2 linked regions of the Canis lupus familiaris genome follow. The protein of the gene in region 1 purifies or fractionates together with the protein of each later gene. This does not show direct contact. Links are inferred from orthologs where the notes say so. Each region holds a gene or a part of one and is shown in the gene's direction. Other genes may lie near its edges.

What was found. The genes of interacting proteins can lie anywhere in the genome.
Region 2: the proteins of MAP4K1 (region 1) and NUDC purify together in Homo sapiens (affinity purification with mass spectrometry; 3 studies listed by BioGRID and IntAct, with this or other methods). This does not show direct contact. The link is inferred for Canis lupus familiaris from reciprocal best matches to the Homo sapiens genes MAP4K1 and NUDC.

Annotation. Positions count from the first base shown.
Region 1 is NC_049222.1:115,278,863-115,283,580, forward strand, and holds part of MAP4K1 (mitogen-activated protein kinase kinase kinase kinase 1), read left to right. Parts: intron 1-283; coding exon 284-339; intron 340-425; coding exon 426-473; intron 474-644; coding exon 645-687; intron 688-772; coding exon 773-845; intron 846-1,415; coding exon 1,416-1,547; intron 1,548-1,974; coding exon 1,975-2,037; intron 2,038-2,135; coding exon 2,136-2,217; intron 2,218-2,618; coding exon 2,619-2,735; intron 2,736-2,963; coding exon 2,964-3,042; intron 3,043-3,585; coding exon 3,586-3,644; intron 3,645-3,720; coding exon 3,721-3,764; intron 3,765-3,844; coding exon 3,845-3,889; intron 3,890-4,658; coding exon 4,659-4,701; intron 4,702-4,718. UniProt on the Homo sapiens protein: Serine/threonine-protein kinase, which plays a role in the response to environmental stress. Appears to act upstream of the JUN N-terminal pathway.
Region 2 is NC_049223.1:72,615,582-72,621,084, reverse strand, and holds the start of NUDC (nuclear migration protein nudC), read left to right. Parts: upstream 1-1,900; 5' UTR 1,901-2,032; coding exon 2,033-2,113; intron 2,114-4,216; coding exon 4,217-4,294; intron 4,295-5,503. UniProt on the Homo sapiens protein: Plays a role in neurogenesis and neuronal migration. Necessary for correct formation of mitotic spindles and chromosome separation during mitosis. Necessary for cytokinesis and cell proliferation.

The DNA of each region.
Region 1 (4,718 bases):
CCGACTGGAATGTTCTCTCCATGCGGGCAGAGACCGCTGTCTCTTGTCCACGGCTACCTCCCCAGTGCCCACAGCAGTGCCTGGCACCCAGTAGACACTGTGAATATCTGTTGAGTGAATCTCTCTCCCTCTGGTACCCTGCCTTGGTCGCTGACTGTCCCTCCATCTCCCCCTTGCACTTGTCCCATCTGTTCCCTGTCCCCGTGTGGCACCTTCTCAGCCTGTGTGTGGGGGAGCCAGGTTGCCTGTTTCCCACCCAACACTACTGCTGTGATCTTTGCAGTGACAGGCCCCCTGTCAGAGCTCCAGATTAGCTATGTCTGCCGGGAAGTGCTCCAGGTGAGGCGAGACCCGGTGGGCCTGGGGCGGGGTCCTGCTCCAGCCCCTGGGGACTCACAGCACCCCATGTCCACCCTCTCCCCTAGGGACTTGCCTATCTGCACTCACAGAAGAAGATACATCGGGACATCAAGGTGGTCTGGGGCAGCAAAGTGGCTTTGTTGGGGGGGGGGCAGGAGGTGGAAGTAGTGTTTGCAGGATTCAGGGTGGTGTTGAGCTGTGGGGTTGGGAAGGGCCAGGGTGTGGAGGCAGCGTCAGGCTGGGGGTGTCTCTGACAAGCTTCTGATTTCCCCCTCTTTCTCCAGGGAGCCAACATCCTCATCAATGATGCTGGGGAGGTCAGACTGGGTAAGTGTGATGGGGGGTGGGAGGGGACTGGCTGGGGGCCAAGGGGGTGGGGGCCCCAGGTCACTATATCTCTCTCTGCCTCTAGCCGACTTTGGTATCTCGGCCCAGATTGGGGCAACGCTGGCTCGACGCCTCTCTTTCATCGGGACGCCCTACTGGTGAGGGATGCCCGGTGGGCAGCTAGGGGTGCATGGGGGCAGTGGCCGTCCCCACCTGGGTCACCAGGACTCTCCTTCCCAGCTCCTTTCCCTGTGTCTGCCTCTCTGTTGAATATTCTGCTCACTTTTTGGCTCTCTCTCAAGTATTACATTTACCGAGGTCTCTTTGTGTTGGTTTTTATTCTGATTTTCTGTCTCTTGACCTCTGTGTGTCTTTTTTAAAAATTTTATTTATTTATTCATGAGAAATACAGAGGGGGGGGGGCAGAGACACCGGCGGAGGGAGAAGCAGGCTACCTGTGGGGAGCCCAATCCGGGACTTGATCCCCAAACCGGGGATCACACCCTGAGCCAAAGGCAGCTGCTCAACCACGGAGCCACCCAGGCGTCCCCGTGTGTCTGTCCTTATTGCTGTCTCTCTCTTCACCTTGATGTTTCTCTCAGCATCTGGTTCGCTCTCTGTCCCCTCCTCCTCTCTCTCTCTCCCTCCTGCCCCCACCTGCACGCCAAGGAGTCGCCCCCTTCCCCTCCTTGTGTCACCTCTGGCTCGCTGAGGGTCTCTGTCCCCAGGATGGCTCCAGAAGTGGCGGCTGTGGCCTTGAAGGGGGGATACAACGAGCTGTGTGACATCTGGTCCCTGGGCATCACGGCCATTGAACTAGCGGAGCTACAACCACCGCTCTTTGACGTGCACCCTCTCAGGTAGGCGGGCCTGACGAGCCCCCCCGCTGGGCCCAGAGACCTGCCCAGCCCTGACCCAGAGCACCCCCTGCCCCCACCTGCTTCCCTCACTTCGAGGCCCCCTCCAGGAGACACCCCGTCCTCACAGCGAAATCTGAGACCCTCCCTGCAAAGAACCTCTCAACCCAGAAAGCCTTTTCTTCAGGCCCCCCCAGTGGGAACCCCCAAGGCAGGATTCCTGATCTGGAGCCTCCCGTGGAGGTTGCTGCAGCTCTGTTGTGTGCTCCCCAGAAATGGCATCCCAGGGCCTTGTAAAACCTAAACCTCATTCTTGTTCTGTCCCTTGCTTGGCTCTCTGCTGACCTCAGTGCTATTGGGGACCCCTCAAGCCGTGAGGTCTGACCCCTGTTGGGAGTCTGAACACCATGTTCTCTCCTTACTCTTCTAGAGTTCTCTTCCTCATGACGAAGAGTGGCTACCAGCCTCCCAGGCTAAAAGAAAAAGGCAAATGGTAGGACAGGGCAAGGGAGGGCAGAGCCAGGATGGAGGGTCTGTCTGCTGGGAGAGTTTCTGGTCTCCTCACCTAGGATTTGGCTTCTTCCTCCCAAGGTCGGCTGCCTTCCACAACTTTGTCAAAGTCACCCTCACTAAGAACCCCAAGAAACGACCCTGTGCCACCAAGATGCTCAGTGTAAACCTCCCCTCCTTTCCCTGAAAGGCCCTTCCCAAACTCCCCGCCCTCTGCCCAGAATTCCCCAGGAACTCCCCAAGACTCTCCAAATTGTACCCCAGACCTTTGGCCAAGATACCCCGAGCTGTTAAAACTCAAAAATTTCCCAGGGTCTCCAGACCCATTCCTGGGTACGCTCTGAAATCCTGGGGAAGCCCCGTCTCCTCTAAGACACCTCAAAGTTCTCCATTTGCCCTTGCTGGGAACCCCAGATTCTTCTAATCCGTTCCAACCCCTTAAAATCCCCTAGTTTCCATTCCCCAGAGTTCCCTGCCTCTCCCTCAGTGGGCACCTTCCCCACCAGGTCCTTGAGCCCCTGTCCCAGCCTCTCCCCAACACCAGCCCCCTCCTCTCCTCTCTAGCATCAGCTGGTATCCCAGCCCAGGCTACATAGAGGCCTGATCCTAGATCTTCTTGACAAACTGAGGAATCCAGGGAAGGGGGCCTCTGTGGTCGAGATTGAAGATGAGGAGCCTGAGGTGAGGGTGCCCTGGCCGAGAAGGCGGGGGAACCTCCCAGCCCCTGCTCAAGCTGTAACCGCCCCCCCTCCCCCCACAGCCTGGAGTGCTTTCCTGCTGCTTCTCTTAAAAGGAAAAAGGGGAGGGGTGTAGGGGGGCTTGGCACAGGGCTACGGGCTCCCAGCTGGGCTCACAGGGTGGTAGGGGTGCCAGGGGGCCGTGGCCTGATGCCGCTGCTGCTCTGCCCAGGTGCCCCCTGCCGTCCCCCGGCGAATCCGGTCCACCCACCGATCCAGCTCTCTAGGGATCCCAGATGCCGATTGCTGTCGTGAGTAGAGATTCCTTAAGCTTGGAGATCCTTGACCATAAACTAGATCCAAGAGACGCACTCCACCCCCAGTGATTCTCCCAGAGACGCTCAGCACCATCTGATCTCACGATAGAGCCCCGAGACCCGCGTCACTTCCACACAGACCCTCAGAGACCCTTGTCACTCACTATCTGACCCTGCAAGAGACTCCAGAAAACCTCATCCTCACCTGAACTTCAAAATGGCTATAGAGAACCCCCCCCACTTCTCTGACCTGCAAACAGACCCCGTGAGACTTCCCATAACACCAGGACCCCCAAAGAGATCTCAGAAATCTCTGTCACACCCCCAGGATGGAACCATGAAGACAAACACTATGTAACTTTGAGCCCCCACCTCCCTGATCCCAAACCCTGACCCCCAGATGAGACCCCTGCAAACCAAGATCCTTCCCCCTGGGGGACAGCCTCGGTCCTAAGATCCTGACCCCGGGCCCCCCAAAGGCTCCTCTTTTCCCAGACCCATTGCCTCTGCTCACTGCGTCACCCTCCTCCCTTCCAGGGCGGCACATGGAGTTCCGGAAGCTCAGAGCAATGGAGTCCAGACCCATAACCCACACGGTGAGGTGCCTCCCTCTGCTGGCCCCAGATGCCCTCCCCTCCCCTTGGGCACTGCTGACCCTTTGCTATCCTGCAGGCCCACTTACAGCCCCCCGGAGACTTCCGGAGCAGCAGTCCCAGGTCAGGGACCCTCGGTGTGGCGGGGAGGGGTCTGGGTTTTGTGGGGGGAACCACCGATGGTCATGGGTGTCACTCCTCAGGAGGCACCTGTCGGAATCTGACGATGACTACGACGACGTGGACATGTAAGAGAGGCGTGGCCCCCAGCCCCGCTGGCCCTCATCCCCCCCCCCCCACCTTCCTACAACCACCGTCCCCTTCCATCCCGACCCCAACCTCAGCTCCTGTTTTCCCCTTGCCGCTCATCCCGGACCCCTGACTAGACCCTACAGCCTCCCCCTGCCCCCTCAACAGTCTTTCACCCCTCCCTGGCCCAGCCACTATTATCCCCCCAAGCCAACACCCCAGTTCCATCCCATCTGACCTCCGAACCCCCCACTACATCTCAGGCCCCCCACCACTCCCAGATGTTGCTCGGACCCCCAGACTTCCACTGCACCCCTAACCAGCAAAGCCCAGCCTTCATCCGCATCTTTCCCCCTGAGAACTTCCCCCATGCCAGACCCTCCACCGGAGACCCCACCTTGGCCCCAGCAGTCAGCCCCACCCCCAGGCCTGCATCAGCCTCACGCCCACCTGTTGGGTCTACACATCCAGCTGCAGTAGGCTCACAGGCCCTGCCCAGCACCAAGTGAGAACCTGCCCCGCCCCAGGGGAGCCCATGTGACCCGCATCACTAGGTGGCCACGACAGTTCAGGCCCGGCGTATTGTCCACACTTGATATCCAGCGCAGCTGTTGCCAGTATCATGAGTGCTCTAATCCTCAGCTCCAGCCCAGACCCAGTCACCCCCGATCCTCTTGACCTCAGACCTCCAGTCCCAAACCATCCCATCTGCCTCCCCAGCCTTGTTACCCCCCCCCCGCCCCTGCTCACCTCATCTTTGTGTTCCAGCCCCACCCCTGCAGAGGATACACCTCCTCCACTGCCTCCCAAGGTAAGGCCCTGGGCCCT
Region 2 (5,503 bases), on another chromosome or scaffold:
AAGGACAGAGCCACCAGCATTTTAGTAAATGTCTAGGTGGTGCAGGACACTAAGAGTGTTAGTGCAGTGGGAAGAAAACCAGGTCACTGTGGTAACACAGAAGCTCTATTGGGTTGCTAGAGCTGTATAATAAAATACCATAGACTCTGTGACTTCAACAGCATAAACTTAATTTCTCAGCTCAGGAGGCTGGAAGTCCAAGATCGAGGTGTTTGCTTTCTCCCACGTCCTCTCTTTGTCTTGTGGAAGGCTGCTACCCATGGCCTTTCCTCTGTGTACCTATGATTTCCTAGGGATCTCTCCCTCTTCTTGTAAGGACACTCTTTCATATGGGATTAGGGCCCCACATGCTTATGAATTAATTTCACCTTAATTACCTCTTTAAATGGCTCTTGGTCCAAAACGTCACATTGGGGGCTTCAACATATGAATTTCGGGGAACACAATTCCATCCAGATCAGAAGCCTAAAGAAAAAAAAAGTGTGTCTAGAAGAAGGGGCAAACTGTGTCAAATGCTGCTGAGAAGCTGAGGAAGATAATGGGGCATCCGGGTGGCTCAGTGGTTGAGTGTCTGTCTGTCTTTGGCTCAGGTGGTGATCCCTAGGTCCTGGGATCCAGTCCCACGTCAGGCTCCCCACAGGGAGCCTGATTCTCCCTCTACCTCTCTCTCTCTGTGTCTCTCATGAGTAAATAAATAAAATCTTAAGAAAAAAAAAAGAAGTTGAGGAAGATAATTGTGGTTCATGCGCTTTGGCATAAAAAAGTCATTGTACCCTTTGCTAGAGTCTTTTCAGAAAAGGAAAGATGTTAGGTAACAAAGTGGAGACATGTAATCTTTTCAAGTTTTGCTGTGAGAACTGAAAACCGGCGTGGTAGGAGGAGAAAAGCAGGGGTCACAGAATAATAAAAAAAGAAATAAGGGACATTAGAACAGCTTTGCAAATTGAAGGGAATGATCCAGAAGAAAGAAATCTGTGATGTAGGAAATTAAAAAAAGGATAAGGGGCGTGTCCCTGGGTGGCTCAGCGGTTTGGCGCTGCCTTCAGCCTAGGGTGTGATCCTGGAATCCCGGAATCGGGTCCCACATCGTGCTCCCTGCATGGGGCCTGCTTCTCCTTCTGCCTGTGTCTCTGCAGCTCTGTGTGTCTCTCATGGATAAATAAATATTTAAAAAAAAAAAGGATAATAACGAGGCTAGAATCCCTGAAAAGACTAAGATGATGAAATTCACTGCAAAAGTGGAGGGGTTGGCCATCTTTAGATGGCTGGGTTGTGTCCCCCACTAACGGGAGTGAAGGTGGAATACAGCAACCATTATGTAATTTGCAGAGCCCAGTACAAAACGTGCTGTTTCTTGTTCAAAAATTTAGATTTTCAGGACTGCATCAGAAGAACATTAAAGCCAAGCACGGAGCCCTTCCAAGACGGACGCCCGCGCGACCGTACGGTTTGTAATCCCACGAAGCTGGTTCTGGCGAGTATGCTGTGACGACGGAGGTAGGCTGTCCTTTGGGCCAGCCCCGGCTCCCTTCTGGGCCTGCACTGCCTCATGGTAGCGCTGGAGAAGAAGACGAGGGACACGTTCAGCCCCGCCCTTCTACAGGCTGGTAAGTCACTCTCAAGGAGGAGGCGCAGAGTTTGTCCCTTTTTAACTTCGAACCCGCCAGATTTGTAGCTCAGGGTTTTCTGGAAGGCTCCAAAGCATCTGGTGACCATAGCAACTCACGCCAAACTCCGGATCCCTTAGCTCCGCCCACCGCTTCCTGAACGGGTCCGTCGATTGGCTCAGCGGGCGGACCAATCGTGGGAGACGCGGGCTGTTTGCCGCGCGGTCAATGGTCGCGGGCCAGGAGGGAGGCGGGAAGAGAGGGCGGGAGGGCGGGACCGGCCGCGCGGCGCGTGCGTGTTTCCGGCTCCGCTGCGGAAGGCGGACGGCTGGAGCGGTTGGGCCGGACGCGACTCTAAGGAGCCGGGAGAACGCGGGACGCGAGCGCGGAGCTGGGCCCTCGGAGTGTGGCGAGAGGCCGGCGCGATGGGCGGAGAGCAGGAGGAGGAGCGGTTCGACGGCATGTTGCTGGCCATGGCGCAGCAGCACGAGGGCGGCGTGCAGGAGGTAACGGCCCGCGCGGCGTCGGCCTGGCCTGCTCCTACGGCGCTCGCCCGCCCGCGCGGCGCTGGCACGCTCCCTCCGCTTCCCTACCCTCGGGGGCCGAGATCCACCTCTGGGCCTCGCGGGTTCCTGGGATCCGCCTCCATCTCTGCGCGCCCCCAGCTTCCGGTCTGGCCTCCCCGCCGCCCTTAAGGCCTCAGTCGTTTCTGTGCTGGGCCCCCCGGCGCCACTCAGGAGTTCCTGTCTTAGCAACTCCTGCGTCTCCGAACGCGGCCCTGGAAAACCCGCAGCGCCCCCCTTATCCCGTCCCCCCCGCTCTCACACATGCTTCCGGCCTCGTATCCCTACTGATGGCCGCCCCCGAAGAGCAGTTCTTAGGATGAACCATCCCAGACTTTGGCATTTGCATCTACCAAGACCTGGACCGAGCTGACGAATGCTTGTGGGGGGGTGCGGGGGTGGGGCGGGGCGGAGTGATGTTAACACGTGGTCCTTTCAGGCCTAGAATGGGGAATAGGAAGCCTGGGTTCACCATTTATCTCCACCACCTACCAGTAAGGGGCCTTTCCATATCAGCAAGCCTCAGTTCCTTTTGTCTTTGAGGCAGCCACAAGTCTCTTCTGAGTAGTGAGGAGAGTAGTGTCTTGAAGTAAAGGACAGTAAGGAATTCACAATAAGCAGGTTTGTTCATTCAACAAATATTTGTTGAGTGATGTGTGTCAGATGCTCACCGGATTGGGTCCTGGGTGTATATGTGAGCAGAAGTCTATCCTTGCCCTGATGGAGCTTGGAAAGGCCCTTTCAAAAGCACAGTTCATGCGTACTGACCACACATAACACAAAGACGTACTGGTATAGATGCTGGAGTTGGTGTTTTGGACCAAAACCATGGAAAGTTAGAAGTAGAAAAGCCTATCAGGATCAGTTCCAAAACTCTAATTCTGAAGAGAAACTGAAGGAACTTGCCTCAGATCACCCAGCAGGTTCCTGAATTAGGACCAGATTCCTTAGGCCAGTGTGCTGGTTCTGTGTCTCACTGGGAGCAAGTTTTCTTTGAGCTTTCCATTCCCATTCTTTTAGCTGGGCACCGGTGGAGACCAAGGACTCTCAAGCCCTTTGAGGTGGGAAGAGTTACTACTTTGCTTTTGTGTAAAGTTTCCCTCTCCCATCCTCCTAAATTGTTGATCCCAAATAGGATTCGGAGTGAGTTCATTTTTGAATGAATCAAAAAATTATCTAGAAGTAGAAACTCAAACCATGAAGATAAAGTCTAGCATCAGAGTTAGAACCACTCATTTGGGCAAGTAAAAGGGCTTGTATATGCTAACTCTAGAACACCACTAGATCATTTCATTCAGCAGAAGATTTACTGAGCATATACACTGAGCCAGATCTGATGCCAGGCTTTGGGGATGTAGACAGAATAAGCCACAATTCATGGTACCTATGTGTGAATCGTTCACTCTGGCAGGAGGTCTCTTGCTCTGGGCCAGACATTGCTAAGGCCCTCACCTCCATTATCTCATTTAATTCTCACAAGATCCCTAGAAATAGGCTGGCTGCTATTTCTCTTTTAGAGTTAAGAAACTTCCCTAAGGTGACAGCTAATATATTATCAGTCTGATAATCAAACCCATGTGCTTAATTAACCACTTGGATACTTTACTGTACCAGCCAGAGTTAGTTGGTTTTAACCTTTGAAGTGGCTCCCCTCTTTCTGGCTCTGCCCTAGTAACTCAGCCATTGCCAGTCTGGATGGACTTTTCACTGTCTGGAAGGAAAGCTGGGCCTAGGTGTTTTAAGCCCTGGTTGCAGAGGAGTGTTCTGTATCTTTAGGCTGTTTCTAGAGCCACAAGGAATGTGAAACACAGGCACACATACACAGGAGATGGAAATCTGCCTTTCAGGCCACCTAAATCAGGTTAGGTTAGGCCTCCTAGTGGAGGTGACTAAAGTAGAGCCTGCTGGGGAGCCTGTCTTGTCCAATGAGAGGCTTAGGAGGAAACTACCAAGTTTCTGACTCCCTCCTGGACTAGGATCTGGTTTCTGGGCAGCTGAGGGCTCCCTGGGGGCATCTCCACAGCTTCAGTCTTCTCTGTTTTCCAGCTTGTGAACACTTTCTTCAGCTTCCTTCGACGCAAAACAGATTTTTTTGTTGGAGGAGAAGAGGGGATGGCAGAGAAGGTGAGTGTTGGGGCCTGCTGTCCCTTTGGAACCTGTTTCTTCATAAGGAAAGCACATGTAATCTTCCTTTGGCATTATAACAACCTTCAGTAAAAGTAAAATGCCAAGGGTAAAGAGTCAGGGAAAGGAAGCAAGCTGTCATGTATTGAAGCCCCTCTCCTTGCCAGGTACTTTATCTACTCCTATTTCCTGTGATCCTTTAGCAGCTTGAGAAGGCCAGGTGTTACTATTCCCATTTTGCAAATGAAATTGGCTCAAGGGGTGTTTGGCACTTTGTCCAAAGTCCTTTTTTTTTTTTAAGCTTTATTATTTGAGAGAGCGAGAGAGGGCGAGAGCATGTGCATTCATGCATGCACATGAGCTGGGTAGGAAGGGTAGAGGGAAAGGGAGTCTTGAGCAGAATGTGGAGCTTGACTTGACGCCAGGTTTGATCTCACAACCCTGAGATCACAACCTGAGCTGAAACCAAGAGTGGATACTTAACCAACTGTGCCACTCAGGGAGTAGGATTTTGTGTAAGATCTTGAGCTGAATTGTAGAAGAACCAGGGTTCAAACCAGAGTCTGTTGTCAAACTACCTTCTGCCCGACACCATGCTTCCTGGTTCCTTTTCCATTGAGGAAGTTTTATCTAATTACCTAGCTGGAGATGAGAGTGGAAATTGAGAGTGGAAATACAGGAAAACTTAAAATCATTTAATCCCAGTCTTCCCAGATACTGTGACCCAAAGTTCATAGATTTGGGGATTGCGTTTTGTGCTACAGGCTCTGAGACCTTGAACTTCCTTTTGATTCGTTAGGTTTTAATTATATTTTTGAAGATTGGTAAGTCATGAAAATGTTACCTCACTGAACAAATATTTTTAGGACCATAATGTTTGTTTTTACCTAAAGAGACATAGTAACAAGAAGGAGTTTTGCAAACCGCTTTCTGTGGCTTCAGGGGTCTGACAAACTGGAGTGCTCTATACTGGATCTTAATGATCTGAGGCTACTCTGTCATAGACACACTAGCCGGGACATGGAGAGTCCCGAGATCTTGGCTAAGCTGTATGGCTTTGTTGATTTCCCACTAGTTCTCTGGTCCTTTCAATCTACATGTCTGCAAAATGGAAGAAGGTAGAATTACCTGTAGGCCACTTCTGGCTCAGATATTCTTCCTGTGTTAGTACCAGCACCTCTTTTTTTTTTTTTTTTTTTAAGATTTTAT